Linked DNA regions of Arabidopsis thaliana. The protein of the gene in region 2 interacts with the protein of the main gene of each other region in a pairwise test. Each region holds a gene or a part of one and is shown on either strand. Other genes may lie near its edges. The genes, in order: MUR3, CSLC04 and AT4G21060.

The links.
Region 1: the proteins of CSLC04 (region 2) and MUR3 come close enough for resonance energy transfer, tested with the Arabidopsis thaliana proteins (one study listed by BioGRID).
Region 3: the proteins of CSLC04 (region 2) and AT4G21060 come close enough for resonance energy transfer, tested with the Arabidopsis thaliana proteins (one study listed by BioGRID).

Annotation. Positions count from the first base shown.
Region 1 is NC_003071.7:8,789,981-8,794,904, reverse strand, and holds MUR3 (Exostosin family protein), read right to left. Parts: upstream 2,967-4,924; 5' UTR 2,551-2,966; coding exon 691-2,550; 3' UTR 504-690; downstream 1-503. Other genes in the region: AT2G20380 (Galactose oxidase/kelch repeat superfamily protein), read left to right, coding at 1-87; AT2G20362 (uncharacterized protein), read right to left, coding at 4,750-4,924. UniProt on the Arabidopsis thaliana protein: Involved in the attachment of the Gal residue on the third xylosyl unit within the XXXG core structure of xyloglucan, the principal glycan that interlaces the cellulose microfibrils in plant cell wall.
Region 2 is NC_003074.8:10,503,820-10,509,793, reverse strand, and holds CSLC04 (Cellulose-synthase-like C4), read right to left. Parts: upstream 4,084-5,974; 5' UTR 3,685-4,083; coding exon 3,049-3,684; intron 2,909-3,048; coding exon 2,600-2,908; intron 1,882-2,599; coding exon 1,477-1,881; intron 1,399-1,476; coding exon 727-1,398; 3' UTR 529-726; downstream 1-528. UniProt on the Arabidopsis thaliana protein: Beta-1,4-glucan synthase rather involved in the synthesis of the xyloglucan backbone than cellulose. Seems to work simultaneously with xyloglucan 6-xylosyltransferase.
Region 3 is NC_003075.7:11,239,158-11,245,492, forward strand, and holds AT4G21060 (Galactosyltransferase family protein), read left to right. Parts: upstream 1-1,572; coding exon 1,573-1,749; intron 1,750-2,368; exon of another isoform or gene 2,369-2,608; coding exon 2,609-2,687; exon of another isoform or gene 2,688-2,845; coding exon of another isoform or gene 2,846-2,930; coding exon 2,931-3,746; intron 3,747-3,906; coding exon 3,907-4,148; intron 4,149-4,289; coding exon 4,290-4,580; intron 4,581-4,744; coding exon 4,745-4,873; intron 4,874-5,014; coding exon 5,015-5,188; intron 5,189-5,283; coding exon 5,284-5,391; intron 5,392-5,493; coding exon 5,494-5,703; downstream 5,704-6,335. UniProt on the Arabidopsis thaliana protein: Possesses hydroxyproline O-galactosyltransferase activity. Transfers galactose from UDP-galactose to hydroxyproline residues in the arabinogalactan proteins (AGPs). Is specific for AGPs containing non-contiguous peptidyl hydroxyproline residues.

The DNA.
Region 1 (4,924 bases), on a different chromosome or scaffold from region 2:
ATTTGGGGGAAGATCGAGTGGTTCGATGCAGTTCTTAGAGTCCCTAAGTATTACCAATTCGTTGGGGCTAAATCTGCTACTGTTTGACAGGTTTGAGCGCTTATAAATATGATCTGCAGTCACTTGCTTTGTAGGATGATGGTTTAAGCTTATTTAGTGAGTTCTTTTTCTTTTAGTGCCTGACATTGTTTTTGCTTATAAATATGATCTGCAGTCACTTGCTTTGTAGGATGATGGTTTAAGCTTATTTAGTGAGTTATTTTAGTGCCTGACATTGTTTTTGCTTATAAATATCTGGCATTGACTTGCTTGTAGATGATTAAGCTTATTTCGGGACTTGTCTGTCTCTTTGATTAACCCTTTGATGACAAACTCGGTCTGCTACTGTTTGATGAATGATGCATGAGACTAGCGGGTAATGTCCGTTTTTAGTTCTGAATATGTGTTGCAAATGCAAAATGTCAAATGCAAACGAAATTAAACATAGGCACTGTCTTCAGTTAGAAACTTGAAAAGGGTCACTTCTTATTATTAATTTCTGTGGGTAACTGATACAAACAAACTTATCTCTATGAAACTGGAGAAACTACATTTGATACCAATACAACAAAAATAAATCATTTTTTGTCCGTATAAATAGTAACCGAAAACTATATCAAAACCGTAACAAAATGTGGTTTCTGTCTCTTTTCACTGTGTCTTATCTCTCTGCTCACTCTTCCATGAATTCTTAGCTGCATCTGCTGAAATAGTCGTGCCTCCATTACCATCGCTGCTGCCATCTTCTCCGGGCTTTGGTTTGGAGAAGAACGGGTCCCACACATGGCCCCCTGCTTCCCGTTGGCCTTCCTCCAGCAACGCATACTTCCAGCTGTTCTCCTCCACGAAGTAGTCATACTCGGTTCGGCCCTCGATCATGTTCTTCCTTAACCGAGTCACCTTGTCTATCACAGCCTGTACCGAGACATCAAATGCATCTTTCTGCGTCTCCAGTTCTGATCTCGGGTCTGCGTAGATCAGCCTTGGGATGAGGTTGATGACATTCTCTCTCATTATCTTGACCTGCTTGGCTGGAATCTGGAGGAGTCGCTCCTCGATGCTTATGTTTCTCTTCCGAACATCATCCTCGGGGATGAATACCGAGTAGGTTGTGTAGTTCTTGGGTAGATGCCACGTGTATTGCGTGTAGGCTGAACCCGGATGGAAGAAGACCGGTATACAACCGGCAAGCATTGAGTCAAATGCCGATCTTCGGGTGTAAGAGTCTCCCTGTGGCTGCAGGCAGAAGAGAGAGCTTTGAAACATTTGCATAATGCTGCTTGGTGCATGGCATTTGCTCTCCCCAAAATCGCATTCTAATAATTTGCCAACATTTGAGTTTCGACATTGATCAATGATCTGCCCTCTGATAGATTTCGGATTGTCAGGTCGTGGGGCTCCTGCAAACGAGAAAAGCCACTTCCTTTCCAGGTTTCTCATCCGGTCTTGCCATTCAAAAACCTCTGAGTCCTTTGCTGGGTGGAAGTAGGTTGGGTACGGGATCCCAAAATCATTAGCATTCCATGGGCTCGACTCAACCACAAGCATAGACATGTTCTTGGCAGCCGGTAAGAAGAGAAGCTTGTTGCCCCAATCAGTTTCTTCTTCAGACAATCTCCTAAAATCCCACGTTATCCTACCCGCCACAAGGAAATGATCTTTTCCCCTCATTATATCCCACTCAGGCCGCTTCATGAGCCAATCGACCAACTCAAGCGAAGCAGCATCCCTTCTCGAGATATTGTATCCCCACAGATACCTAGCAATGTCGAATCCAGCATAGAACGGCACAAAGATGGCAGCAGCAAGGGAAGAATCATTTGTCAAACATTTGTACTGCTTCATCCGGTTGCTGAATATCACATCAACAGCAAACTGATTAGTCGCATACCAACCTTCATCAGAGAAGACACCTTCAACATTCTCAAGCGGCGGCCCAAGGCCAGCATTGGTTGTGAACTTACACATGTTAGTCCAGAGACTAAGCTTCTTACAGTCTCTAAGCATATCCTCATTGAACTTTGAGGGTAGATTGTGAACATAAATGTACTTCCCTCCACAAGGGTCACTCTTGTTGTCTACTGTCTTCAAGGCTCTTATAAACGAAAACTCCTGTTTCTTCCCGCTCTCAACAATTCTAGGTGGCTTAAAGGTGGAACTAGAATTGGCTACTGGTGCAGGAGGGAGTATTGGCTTATCGATAGTAACTAAAGGCTCTTTGGGAGGTGGTTTCGATGGAGCTGCATGAGGCTCTATAGGGAATTTATCAACACGAAGAGAGACTGATGATGGCTGAGATTGAGCATAACTAGGTTGCAATTGGAGCTGTTTATCAATGTTACTAGTCCCTAAGACAACAAAATGGAAGTACAACAACAATGCCCAGAAAAAGAGTGACAAAGCAACCAACAAACAGATTCGATTAGTCTGATTTTTTCCATTTCCCTTCTCCATTGGCTCTGTAGGAGAAACTTCAGCAGAGCGACGCCTCATAGAAACCCTTGGAAACATATATAGAGTGTACGAAGATCACAACATCTATACAATAAAGATCAAACTCAAACAAAACCCTAAAGAGTAAAACCAACTCCTATCAAAGCTTATCAAAGCTTCTAGAAGTGATTTTTACACGAGATCGAAGTAATTGAAGCTGAACCGTAGCTCAGGAGCAACTCCAGAAAGGAATCAGATTTGAGAATGTAGAAGTGTACCGACAAGGATCCGCAAGAGAAGGAGCTACGAGGAAGAAAGAAAGATTACAGCTTTTGATTGATCCTTCTATGGAAGATCTAGAGATGTGTGAAAGTAAAGATTTTTAACATTGATGAGGCCAGGATTGATGGATTTTGACCTGGCTTTGAGCTGGTCTTCATCACCGTCAATGAAAGAAAGAGAGACTTCTGTATAATGTAATTGAAAGCGCACGTTAGTCGGACGGCTAAATCTGCGCCGGCAGTTTTTTCTTGTAGTTGTCGGTGACCAGTGGGACCTTGCCACGTGTGAAAACATGTCGGTTTCAAGTGTCGATGACGTCAGATATAAACCTCTTTGACTCAGTTTCGCGCGTAACGTGCGATTTCGACGAGCGTGTGGGTACGATTCCATGTGTAATCATGTGAGTGGTTTGTAGCATGCTATACGTTGGAAATAACACAAATCGCAGAATTTGATGGTAAGCACTAAGCATGAACCAAAACACGTTGTAACATGATTACTTCAAGTTCAAGCTCATTGTTTAACGTCTCTCTGCTAATCAATTAGTATTTCAATAAGTACATAAGTTTTGACTGCCTTAGTTTGAATGTTGTGTAGAAATAGGTTAATATTTTTGTTGAGACCAAATCTCGTGCATGATGTCCAACTAATGATGACGGATTGACAGTAAGCATAAAGCAGATGACTAGCCTTTTTGCAAACCTAATTACATAAATAATTAAGTCTAAACAAAGACCAAAAATGCTCCAAAATGACTTTGTTTGTATGAAACTATTGATGTAGGTCGAATAAGAGAAAAGAGACATTAGAATGCAAAACAAAATGCACTGCTTTGTTTTATTGATGAGTAAAATTTTGTTAGCCAGTTGAAGATTTAAGTTTTGTTTTCGTTTGTTTAAATTCAAAATTAGAGATAGTTTATATGAATACTGGTGTCTAATTTATGGTGGTAAATCCGTAAATGGTTCCATAGTAGGTAATAAATATGCTCGTATTGAAAACAATTTTCTACAAGTCTAAAGTAGATAAATATCTAAATTAAAATTGAATAGTATAAAATTCAAAAACAGGTCAAAGCGAATTAGGAGAATTACATTCGAACTTAGAAAAAATGTTTGTCGTCTAAGTCGGGATTAGTAGTGTAAATGTTGAAGTGTTCAAGGGGGAGACTCCACTTCCATACACTCATAAATAACAAACCAAAAAGAGCGAAAATTAAAAAAACTTAGAAACTTTAAGCGACAAACGTGGCTTGTGGGAGTGGGGAAGTTTGTGCTCCCCAATGTATAACTCACATGGATACCACAAAAGGACTTGCAAAAAAACTTACTTACTCCTCCTTTAAATAATTGAAGAGAGTTATGGACTAGCATTAAGTATTTCCCAACAATAAGTATTAAAAAAGAAATCACTTTTGATTCTTTAATTATTTGTTACAATTGGTGAACATGTAAGGGTGATTTGGAAAAGTGGGGTGGGGATTAATTATTGAACAAATTCATAATTAAGAATTATATTCTCTTGAAATGCTCTTGAATCAGTGAACACCAATGAGATCGTGGTCTTCTAATCATCATCATCTAATGGGAGGGTGGGAAAATGCATGGAAAGAAAATTTCTAGCTAATTGATAGATCTGTATTCGTCAAATCGCCAAATCGGTACTTGTAGTTATAATCCGGTGGTTGAGAATCTTGAGATTGTAATTGGTAACGTACTTCATAGCTTTTAATCCTGTACCCTCTTGATATCGTCACGTCGTTTGTCCCACTAGACTACTACATAGTTTATATGATTGGACTATAGCATTAATCTTCGATTTAATCTGGAATGATATGAATTAAGACAACATATGGTGTGTTTTTGACTGTTATAGATAGGAACTTTCTGGAATAATCTACAAATTAGGACATAGATAAGTATAACTAAATCGAGGAAACAATTATAGGCGAGATCGTTCTTACTTCTTAGCATGATCATCGGTTGATGGGGAGATCTATACGGAACCACTTTCCTTCCGGAACCAAGAGGAGAGGAAGAGAATGAATACTAGAAACATGTTAAAAAGACAGACCAAACATAACCCAACCTTAATCAAGGTCATCTCCTTCTGTCTAGATATGGTATCGTCGCGGGTCATTTTAACGTCATCTATATGGAGATGAACACCA
Region 2 (5,974 bases):
ATAGTTAAAGTAAATAACAAATATGGTTAGTTTAGAGATATTGTTTATATTAAATTTGGTAATTAAATCATTAATTTTTGTTTTTAATTATTAGTTTTTAGGTAACTTTTCCAAAAATTAATGTTATCCAAGATCAGAACAGAATTAAACATGTTATCCAAGATCCGAACAGAGTTAAACCGGGTTATACCCACCCATTTGAATTAATTGTTGAATTATGGCTCAAATCTTCAACATTATCTTCAAAAACGTCTACAAAAATGTATATATAGATAACTAATCTGATCTCTATCTACACTTCTTTTGAGTATTTTTCCGAGACAAATTAAACTATGACTAGACAAATTATCATTTGTAATCTTTCCACTAATGAGAATAGTTTGTAGTTCCATTCATTCTGTCCACAAATGCTATGGTAATCAAATCAAAGTTGAGAAGACAAAAATATTTTCTATTAGAGGTAATGTGATTGAGTAATTGTGATTGAAATACTGTTGAATATTTATCCAAACAAAACATCTAAGAGCTATGATTTTTTAAAGTTAAGCCAAAATCATATAACAAATTCGTTTCAATTCATTTATCTGAAACTGGACATTATAAGTTCTTGAAAATTATGTATAAAACCCACATATAAAAAGGGAAAAGAATTTAAAAAACAAACAAAAAAATAGTGAATATAAACGGTATTTTTTTCCTTGTTCTCTGTCTTGGTTTTGTGTGTGTCTAGCTGATCTGTTCTCCGATCAAATCCAACCCTACAACCAAGAAAGACAGTCCCTGAAACAACAAAAAGTAGAAGTGAAGACCGTGCGCCGATAGAAAGCTCCTTGCAGCTGCGGTTAGCAGCAAGAACGCAAGCCCGAGCTCTTTCTTGAACACCATGTTCGTCTTCTTCTTGTTCTTCGGCCTCATTAGCCCTCCAAGGCTCTTCTTCACGGTTTCTTGCCCTACAAGATTTGTCTCTTGCTCCTTAAGTTTGCTCAGAAGCTCCAAACCTGACTCCGAGTTTCTCCTATGCAACTTCTCTTCCTTTTCAGCAAACGCTAGCAAATCGGACTCCGATGATCTCCCGGTTTTCTTCGTCACAACCCACTCGTAAGCCGATCCAAACTGAAACAGCCCGGAGATCATGGCGTTGAACTTGGTTATTGACATTGTGTTTTCGAAAAGAAGGTAAGGGACTAAGAAAGGGAAAGATTTAGGTGACGGGAGAATGTTGAGAAGCGAAATGAAGATAGGAACATAGCAGATGATCCACAACGGAAGCTCGGCTTCGGGTATGAACATTGTCAATGGAAGTATAATGCAAAAGAGTGTGAATGAGTAAAATGGTAGAATAAGCTTCCTTAGAAGAAAGAAAAGGAAGATCAAATTCGCCTTCTTCCAAACCGATATCTACAAACACAAAAACAAACAATGAGTATATGTAATGATGTTTAACTACTATCACTAGTTGTAGAAATAAACTTTTACCTTTGATTTGATAATTGAAGGAAGGCATAACCGGAACAGCTGCATAGGACCGGAATGCCAACGATGTTGTTGCTTCTTGTAAGCTTCATAAGACTCTGGCAACTCGCAAGTGACTTCAACATCATTAAGGTAAATAAACTTCCAGCCGTTGAGATGCGCTCTAACCGCGATATCCATATCTTCCACGGTGGTTCTCTCGAGCCATCCGCCGGATTCTTCCAATGCCTTGATCCTCCATACTCCAGCGGTTCCATTGAATCCGAAGAAATTGAGAAACACACCGTTCACTTGTTGTTCTACTTCGAAGTGGAAACATAAGTTTATGTTTTGTAGCCTCGTGAGGAGATTCTCATCTTTGTTCACAAATGACCACCTTGCTTGGACCAACCCTAGCTCTGGATTACCCTGTGCAAACAAACAACACAACACTCGTAAGAATCTTGATATTCAAAAATGTTTGCATAAATGTAAACTTCCACATGAATATACTTTTACATTTTAACAAAATCTATTGACTAGTCTACTTAAAAATTCCGGTCTCAGTCATCTTGAGTTCGACTCCAACAACCCACATGAAAAATAAGATATGCTCTTTAGGTGGGGTACATAAAAATAAAATAATAGAATTTCGATTTTTCACAAAACAATAACTTATAAAACAATTATTATTATAATATGTAAATGTAAAAACAAAGGAATAATTGAAACCCGGAATCAAACAGAATCAAGATTAGCTTCAACTAGATTGAATTTGAAGACTTGTCATGTTAGAAAAATCAACCAAAGAAGTCATGAGTTTTGTAATTTCATATTTGTCGGTTACTTCGATTTCATACATAACAAATTACCAAATTGGATTTTCCTAACATAAAACCAAAAATACAAAAAACAATATAAAAATTTGTCGGTTACTTAGAACATGATCCACCGAAAAATAGATAAAACCAGCAAAGACAACTGTCGGTGATGAGTATAATCAAAAAAATATTTTCTATCAAAAAAGTGTAAAAAAGAAACAAATCTTTTTCCAGTGAATTTCTCTAAAACATTCATCGTAAATTACGAAACGTCAAGAAAGAAGTTTCCTTTTATAAGTTTGGGAATAAAGAGATTGTGTTCTTACCTTGAAATGAGGAACAGTCTTCTTGAGGAAATCAGGATTTGGTGTGAAATCTGCGTCGAAGATAGTCACAAACTCGTAATCTTTAACGTAATCACAAGTCATGGCTGATTTCAAATTGCCAGCTTTGTAACCAGTTCTGATCAACCTATGCCTGTAAATTATGTTTACGCCTTTTTCGGCCCAAACCGATACTTCTTCTTTGATCAAAAGCTGTAAATTTGGATCGTCTGAATCATCTAATACTTGAATTAAGATCCTATCTTTTGGCCAATCAAGTTGTGAAGCTGCTCCTATTGATTGTTCATACACCTAGAAGAAAACAAAACATAACAATTATACTATGTAAGAGAAAACAGAACATAAAACAGAATAAAAACAGAGTAAAAACAGAGCAACACAGAGTAAAACCAAAGTGAAAACAGAGTAAAAACAGAGTGTTTATAGTTTACCTCTCGTTCGTTGCACATTGGGATCTGAATAAGGACCATTGGGAAACTGGAGGGGTCTTCTAAATCGATAGATTCTTCGGTGAGCTTAGGTTCGATCTTTTTAAATTTGATCCAAAAGCAACCGAGACAGAGGACTAACCGATCAAGAGACTGAATCAAAAAGAGTACAGTGCAGAATCTGGAGAGACTGATGACAAGAGGAGCGATGTAATCGGATCGAAACGAGAGCCAAGCCATGTACGACCATTCGACAAGCCCGTAAACCTCCCAAGACGGTCGGTTAATGAGATCAAGATTCCATTTCTTGAAATGTGCAACGATTTCTATGGACAAGGCAATAATGGAGATGACAAGACAAGCTTTGATGAATCTGTACATTTGTTTTCCTCTGCTTTTAGGATCTTCTTCTTCGTTAATGTTCTTCGCGGAGAACGCGATTCGCTTTTTAACCGAAGAGACTAGCCACGAGAGACACGAGATGAGTCTATGAGCTTTGAGAAGAAGGAACCATGAGAATTGTTTTGGACTGATGGATTTACGTTTGTCGGGGAATGAGGATGGATCTGAGCCGTTGATCTCTAGTAAAGAGAAGTTGTCTGGCTTCTCCATTGTCACTGCTACTGAATTTGGAGCCATGAATGATAAAGAAACAGAGAAGGGTGAGAAGAATAAAGAAAAGGTATTTGTGTATTTTGGTACTATGAAATGTTTGTCATTATAAAGAAGTGTAGAAGAATCGTCACTGTTTCATTAAATTTTCCATAAAAACAGGATCGTTTGTTTATGTTACACAGACAAAACAGTGTTCTGATTAGATCAGAATGTGAGATACTTTGGGTTCAGCTGTGTAACTGAAACTTGTGATTGAGAGAGAGAAAGAAAGAGAGACGAGGATCATGTGCTGAAGTGAACCAACTAAGTAAATAAAGAGGAGAGGAGAAGAAGAAGAAGAAGAAGAGAGTTCTCCTTTCTTTGAATTTTCCTCTTTTGTTTTTGTAAAGGAAGATTTTATTTAATTATTTTCTTTGTTTGAAAAGTCCAATTTTTATTAGTGGGATCTATTTCCAGCGTGCATAACTAAAGAACAAATTATATTTATTTATGACAAAAAAAGAAAATTTGATTTCTTACTATATGATCAATTTACTATTTTATTTTAGATTCTATAACAAATGATTCAAATGATAACTAATTTGTAAATCCCGTGAATTTTATTTTAATATTTTTTTATCAATCAATCTTTATTTAGAGTTCAGAATCCCGTGAAAATTATTAAAGTAAACATACTCGGAAGTTATGGTTACGTGTTTTTTTTATTAATTTTCAGAAATTACTAATTTATGTAGTTAATTTAGAGGCATTTTTTTTGATATATTGTATAGACAATAAAAGTTTATCAAGTACTAATCTAGTATTTAAAGAAGGCTAATGAAGAAGGCTAACGCATATAATCAAAGATTAGTTGGGTTTTCTTTCATATCATTTTTTTATATTAGTTAACGTGAAAATTTTAATTTGATGTTAAATACATTTTATCTTATATGTTAGTAGTTTGGAATCATTTTTTTTTGCCAGTCTTCTAAGTAAATTAAAAAATAGTAACCGATTTTTTTGACCAAAATCAATCCTAATGGTTTTAGCCTTTTAGGTGGAACGATTTGGTTTAAAGTTACTTTGTTAAGCAAATCCGCGTCTAGTGATTTGATTAAGTAGGAGAGAGACTGCTGTTTATATTATTTTGGGGAAATTTACATCTTTATAATTATACCCATAAAATGAAAATACTTTACTTAAAAAAAGCTATTGGCTTATGGATCTTACGCGATATGTCCAGTCATAAAACTGCGTTTATACATGCATGTGTGTGTATTAAAGAAAAACAAAATGAATGAGAAGAAAAACACAAAGAAAAAAAAGAGATGATTCCAAGAAAAGGCCAAAAATCAATTTGTATGATTGGTAAGGAATTTGGAGGATGACAACTTGGTCCAGCGATGACCAGATTAAACTTATAAAAATGTAATTAGATCAACTTTACTAAATTATAATATTACTTTAACTCAAAGTAATGGACTATGTTGTCGCTTCACTGTCTTCCAACTTTTTTTATTTGATCTTGTTGATTCAAAGTGTTAAATGAATTATCCAGTTACTGTAACCCTTTGATTTGGATAATTTTTCATTTCCAAGATAAATTTTCACTTATTCACAAACATTTAGCTTGTGATTTATCATCGATGATCAACGGAGTACAAGAGATAATAGAGCATGTTAGAAGTCCCACCTCAACTCTATGGCAGATTAGACAAATGTCATGGGTTTATTGTTAATTTTAAAAAAATTCTTAATGATAAAAGGTTTAATATTATTTTACTAAAAGATTTTAGATTTTTGTTGATTTTGCTAGAAGCTCAACGATATACTGCATGTTATTGTTAGATGGGTTCGATTATGTCATGCTTGTGTCACAAGACGTTGCAAAGTAAATCAAATCAAATCTATTTCACTTATATATATAATCAAAAATATGGATCTCATTTTCACAATTATCATATTTTTTTATAGACATACTGATATATATATTGGTTCTCTCTGGTCAAAAAGTTTGTTGGATGCAGGATTAAATTAGAACAGTATTTTTGAAAAGAAATTACAACAGTAATATATTTGATAGATATCGACAGTGTAACAACATGTAAAATGTGAGTAAACTATAATCACGATATATGTTTTATGTTTTAACTATTAACCCAAAACTATATGAATACAAGCTGTGTAGTAAAATTCCATAACAAAAAGATTTAATATTTTCAAGTCTAAGAAAAAGACAATAACCGTAACCGGCGGTGAGAGAAGAAAATCACATGGGAAGTTTCTATTTTACGAACATAAAATATTATTATATTAAAATATATATTCTATAATA
Region 3 (6,335 bases), on a different chromosome or scaffold from region 2:
CGGAAGTTAATGTTCCAGTCCATCGTTTCTACTTCTTTTTTTTTTATTAGTTTCGTTTATGCATGGTTTATGTTGGGTCTTTTTTTAGTTATAAAAGTTTGCATCTTTGTTTAAGTCCCAAAATATTCAGACATAAGTTGTTTAATTCCCAATTTCTTTGATGCTTGTAATTTTTTTTTTAATCTCGCGAAAGCAAAATTTTAGGCTGATGCCTTGGCAAAAGAGGTCTCCTCGCTTGTATGAACTCAATTCTCTAAATCGAATGAAAACAAGGTTGTCCAAAAAAAAAGAAAGTTGTTTGATCCTTTTTCCTTTTTATATATACAATAAGAACTAGAGATATTTCTCGAACAATCTCAACACGAGTTCGATTTCCGTTGTGAGAATTAATTGATTAAACCTTAGTCTCGATTGTGAAATGTTCAGAATTAAATATTATCAATATTAATTCTCCAAAAGAAATCCTAAAATGTTAGTAGCCAACTATAAAGTAGATATGTGAACCAAAAGAAATTGAGATTATTTATTAAATATATGACGAATCAACAATGATGTAATTAATACTTAGAAATTCGTTGAAATCTATGTTTTAATTAATACAACATTTATAGTCTTTAATGAATTTCTAGATTTTAAAATTTTAATTAATTATTGAAAAATGTGTTTCTTAATAAATAATTTTATTTTATAGGTAATTATGACTATATGGTTAAAGACCTAATAAAAACATAAATGAATAGTTACAACTTGCTCTCTCAGATTTTCGAGAGCCAAAACGGCCACTTTCATAGACAAAATCTTAATGAAATTAAAGAAAATCTGATATAACAAGGACATTGACAAAACGTCCAGATTGTGTTAGTATAGACGTGGATTATCATAAGACCGCCGGTTAATGCAAGGGAAAAAGCTAGATTTTGTCAGTCATCGATTCCGACAGAGATAGAGATGAGGTCTTCCACAAGGAATTTGAAACGTGCTCACTCTTTCCTTTTTATAATAAGCTTTCTTAACTTCATTATCCCTATCGTTTTCAAAAGTTGGCAAATGCATTATCACCATATAGTGAATTAGCTATATGGTTACATGAATTTTTTGAGTGAATTAACTAACCATACTGCATTTCCTTCTAATTTTTGTTTACCTCCGTTTCATTATATACTGTTTTAAAATATTTTTAACTTTTAATTATATCGTTATGAAATACACTTATAAGGGTTTTTTTTTTCTATTGAATAAGCTGAAATAATAACAATAAAAATGATTACGATCGTAAATTTGGTGTAATTTCTATGTAATGCTTTTAAATTTTTGAGACAAAATAAATTGATCGCGACAAAACAAATAAAGACTTACACTACACGTGTCTATACATTAAATAGCAAAAGCTATTGACGGTGCAAAACGTCAAAAACAAATGCCCTACGTCGCGGGTAATTAACAAACTCATCCACATATATATACGAGTTTCGTATCTCAAACATTTCATAAATCAAACCATCATATACCTCTCAAATCATTTCTTTGATTTCTATAAACACTATTCTTGTTAATGACTGACCATAAAAACAAATGGCTACTTCTCGTCTAGCTAGGTTTGTATCAGAGGTTGCTCCACCTCAATTTGTGACGGTTATGAGGAGGCATAGAGCAGCGAAGCAGAAGCTAGACACAATCAAAGAAGAAGAGAATAAAGAAGATTCTTTCAATGGTGGGATGGTGGTGATGATGAAGACATCTCATCAACATGTTTATTCACCTAATTCTTCTTATTCCTCTTCGTCTATTTCGGTTTCTATTTCCGGATCTAGCAGCTCTAAGAATTTTCGAAGCTCTTTTTCTGTCTTCGAAAACTAAGATCTACGTACTAATGTTGTATTTTTTAATGATCGGGTCGATATTTTTGTATGCACCCGTTTATATTATATAGTTCAGACCTTTTTATTTTTATTTAAAAGGTCTGATTAATAATACATGTTATACACTTATACCTTTTGGTTATCGTTTGTAATTTTCGATCGAAACCCCGTTTTAATAAGGATGTGTAGTTTTGAAGATACTTAGTTCGAAATAGTAAAAATGGAATGTTTTGCACATTTTCATAACAAACAAATATGTATGTTTAAAAGTTTTATTTTTATTTAATTATTCATTCCTAACATTTAACAAAATCTTTATAGATAAGAATATGTAATTTTGGAGATAAATAACAGAGAAATCAACGACTTTAAAAACCCTTGATTCGTTGTTCTTAGTGAGACTTTTGACTAAATTTATACACATGTGAATATTGTTAAGAATAGAGAGACCATTTGGTGGTTTTTAAAATTTAAAAAATGAAAAAAGGTTCCTTCCGATTTCTCAATTCATCTCCTGAGTGGGTTTTTCTCCTCTGTTTTATTTCTCTAATAGCCCTAGATTCAAGGAGATAAAACTGCTCAAATCAGGTGGAGATTTGCTCTGCTTCATTGGTTTTTTGTTTTGTTTGAGTTAGTGACTTTATCTATTTCTTCTTCGCCAAAAGACGAGATTTTTAAAACAAATTTCGTCTTTTTCAAATTCTCGTGTCAAATTGAGACATTTGGGTTGCTTTGATTGGATTTCGTAGACTCTATTGATCTTCAGATCGTGTCGAGATTTAGCTGCTATTGTGGGGTTTAGAATCCTTCTCTTTACCGGATTCTCAGGTTATAAATCTCCTTTACTTCTTTCAATGAAGTTGTTCGATGAATTGGCTACATTTTAGGTACTCCAGGTGCAGTTTTGTGGCACTAATTCGTCTTGTGAATCAACAAGTCGAGTGATTTTGATTGTGGAAGGTAGTAATTTTTAGTTGACCCTCACAATGAAAAGAGTAAAAAGCGAATCTTTTAGAGGAGTTTATAGTTCTAGGAGGTTCAAGTTGTCACATTTCTTACTAGCTATAGCAGGGTTTTACTTGGTTTTCTTAGCTTTTAAGTTCCCACATTTCATTGAGATGGTTGCTATGTTGAGTGGTGATACTGGTTTAGATGGGGCATTAAGTGATACTAGTTTAGATGTTAGTTTAAGCGGATCGTTACGTAATGACATGTTGAATAGGAAGCTAGAAGATGAAGATCATCAAAGTGGGCCTTCTACTACTCAGAAGGTGTCACCAGAAGAGAAGATTAATGGATCTAAACAGATTCAGCCACTTCTGTTTCGGTATGGTCGAATATCAGGAGAGGTCATGAGACGTAGGAATAGGACTATTCATATGTCACCTTTTGAAAGAATGGCAGATGAGGCTTGGATACTTGGATCCAAGGCTTGGGAAGATGTTGATAAGTTTGAGGTTGATAAGATCAACGAGAGTGCTTCTATATTCGAAGGAAAGGTGGAGTCATGTCCTTCTCAGATCTCAATGAATGGAGATGACTTGAATAAAGCCAATAGGATCATGTTGCTTCCCTGTGGTCTTGCTGCAGGATCTTCTATTACAATTCTTGGAACTCCACAGTATGCTCATAAAGAATCTGTTCCTCAGCGTTCGAGATTGACAAGAAGCTATGGAATGGTTTTGGTTTCACAATTTATGGTTGAGTTGCAAGGGCTGAAGACAGGGGACGGTGAATACCCCCCTAAGATTCTTCATTTGAACCCTAGGATCAAAGGTGATTGGAATCACCGACCAGTCATTGAACACAATACATGTTATAGGATGCAGTGGGGGGTTGCTCAAAGATGTGATGGTACTCCATCCAAGAAGGACGCAGACGTGCTTGGTAAGATTTTGAGCATCCATCATAAACTGTTGTTAGTTGCCGGAATGTAGCAAGTCCATGCTCAGAAGTCTAAGTTTGAATTACCTTAGCTTCTTTTTTATTGCTGTGTAGTTATGTTTCTTTTTGTTTTCTCTTCATCTAAGTAAATGTACTTTTCCAGTTGACGGATTCCGAAGATGTGAAAAGTGGACGCAGAATGACATAATTGACATGGTGGACTCAAAGGAATCAAAGACAACATCATGGTTCAAACGGTTTATAGGACGTGAACAAAAACCAGAAGTCACTTGGTCATTCCCTTTTGCGGAAGGCAAGGTCTTTGTCCTAACTTTGCGAGCTGGAATTGATGGTTTCCATATTAATGTTGGTGGAAGACATGTGTCTTCATTCCCTTATCGACCGGTATGTGATATCAGATGAGCATTCTACTTGTATATGGCTTTGGTCTCAGCACTCAATAGTATCATTTGTTCAAACCAAGAGGATTCATCTCGTCCATGTCTGATAACTTTGTAAAATATTTTGTGATGTCTGGCCTCTCAGGGATTTACCATAGAAGATGCCACAGGGCTGGCAGTTACAGGAGATGTTGATATTCATTCTATTCATGCTACTTCTCTTTCAACATCTCATCCGAGTTTCTCACCGCAGAAAGCTATAGAGTTTTCTTCAGAATGGAAAGCTCCTCCATTACCTGGCACTCCTTTTCGCCTTTTCATGGGTGTTCTCTCTGCAACTAACCATTTTTCAGAGCGCATGGCAGTGAGAAAGACATGGATGCAACATCCTTCTATTAAATCTTCAGATGTAGTAGCCCGATTCTTTGTTGCACTTGTAAGTTCTTACAATCTTTCCTTATTTTAAAGCATGATCTTTAAGAAGTTTAATACTGCAGGTCGATTTAATTGAAACATTGAGATGGAGATTTGCTGATTTGAAGTTCTTATGCTTTGGAATACTGAGCAGTTTATGTGTTTTTGTTGATTTGTTTTGTGTAGAATCCAAGAAAGGAAGTTAATGCAATGCTAAAGAAGGAGGCTGAATATTTTGGAGATATTGTGATTCTGCCCTTTATGGATCGATATGAGCTAGTGGTCCTTAAGACAATTGCCATTTGTGAATTTGGGGTATTGATCATTTCTCTCATGACTCCATATCTGTTTAAGTCTTTGAACAATCTCTGATAAGGATCAGTAAATGAACAGTTTCCCTCATTGTAGTTACTTTACACAAATCTAATTATGAGAGTCTGAATATCTTCCATTCAGGTCCAGAATGTGACAGCGCCATATATAATGAAGTGTGACGATGATACCTTCATCAGAGTGGAATCAATTTTGAAACAAATCGATGGAGTCTCTCCAGAAAAATCACTTTATATGGGGAATCTAAATCTTAGACATCGTCCTCTTAGAACTGGCAAGTGGACAGTTACATGGGAGGTACAATGGCTTCTGTTCTTTACCTGCATATAGTCTGTATGATTCAGAAATCAGAAGCAGCCTCAGATACTAAATTTTCTCTTATACTGTAACAGGAGTGGCCAGAAGCTGTGTATCCTCCTTATGCCAATGGACCCGGATACATAATCTCAAGCAACATTGCTAAATATATTGTTTCTCAGAATTCAAGACATAAGCTTAGGGTCTGACCCTTTATCATCGTCTTACGTTCATCTCCATCTTTTACTGTCATGAACATAAGAGTCTCCTAACATTTTCAAACTATTTCGACTTTGTTGTCACAGCTATTCAAGATGGAAGATGTGAGCATGGGATTGTGGGTGGAGCAATTCAACGCCTCTATGCAGCCTGTCGAATACTCACACAGCTGGAAATTTTGCCAATACGGATGCACACTGAACTATTACACTGCACATTATCAATCTCCGAGTCAAATGATGTGCCTGTGGGATAATTTGTTGAAAGGTCGACCACAATGTTGCAATTTCAGATGACCAAAACATAGCACTAGCCGGAAGATATTACAGGATTACAGATTTGGCACCACCTTAACCCATTTTGTAATTTTTCCTCTTTGGTGCTAGTTGCTTACATTTACACATTCAAGATAACAATCTCTTATTGTACATTGATTAGGATTTTGTCTAAGAAAGAGATTTACACTGATATCTAAACAAATTCTTTCAAAACGTCTTTGCCATAACACTATGGGGCTACCAAGAAAGAGAAGCCAAGGTCACTGTATTATACATTTATACTACTCTGCTGGTCTTTAAGTTCTTGAGTCATGTTATCAAGATTTTGGCTTTCATCAAGTCGCATTTCCTTAATCATCTGCATTTCTTGCGCTTCACTGAAAGATTTCCAGCTTTTGCAAGATGGGGAAATGGAAGAGGGCATCCACAAGATCCAGGTAGATGTCACTGAGTTGTTTTCTTCAGTGTTTGCCATAATCCTCATCCGGTAGATGTGACATACCCATAGAGACAACAAGTTTGGTTAGTATACAGATGAATTGATCAGAATCCTGATTGTATAAACAGAACATCTAAACATCAATCTTAAGAGTGTGCAGGTCAATAGCAGAAGCAACTGTAATGAAGAAAACTCGAAAGACGGATTGATT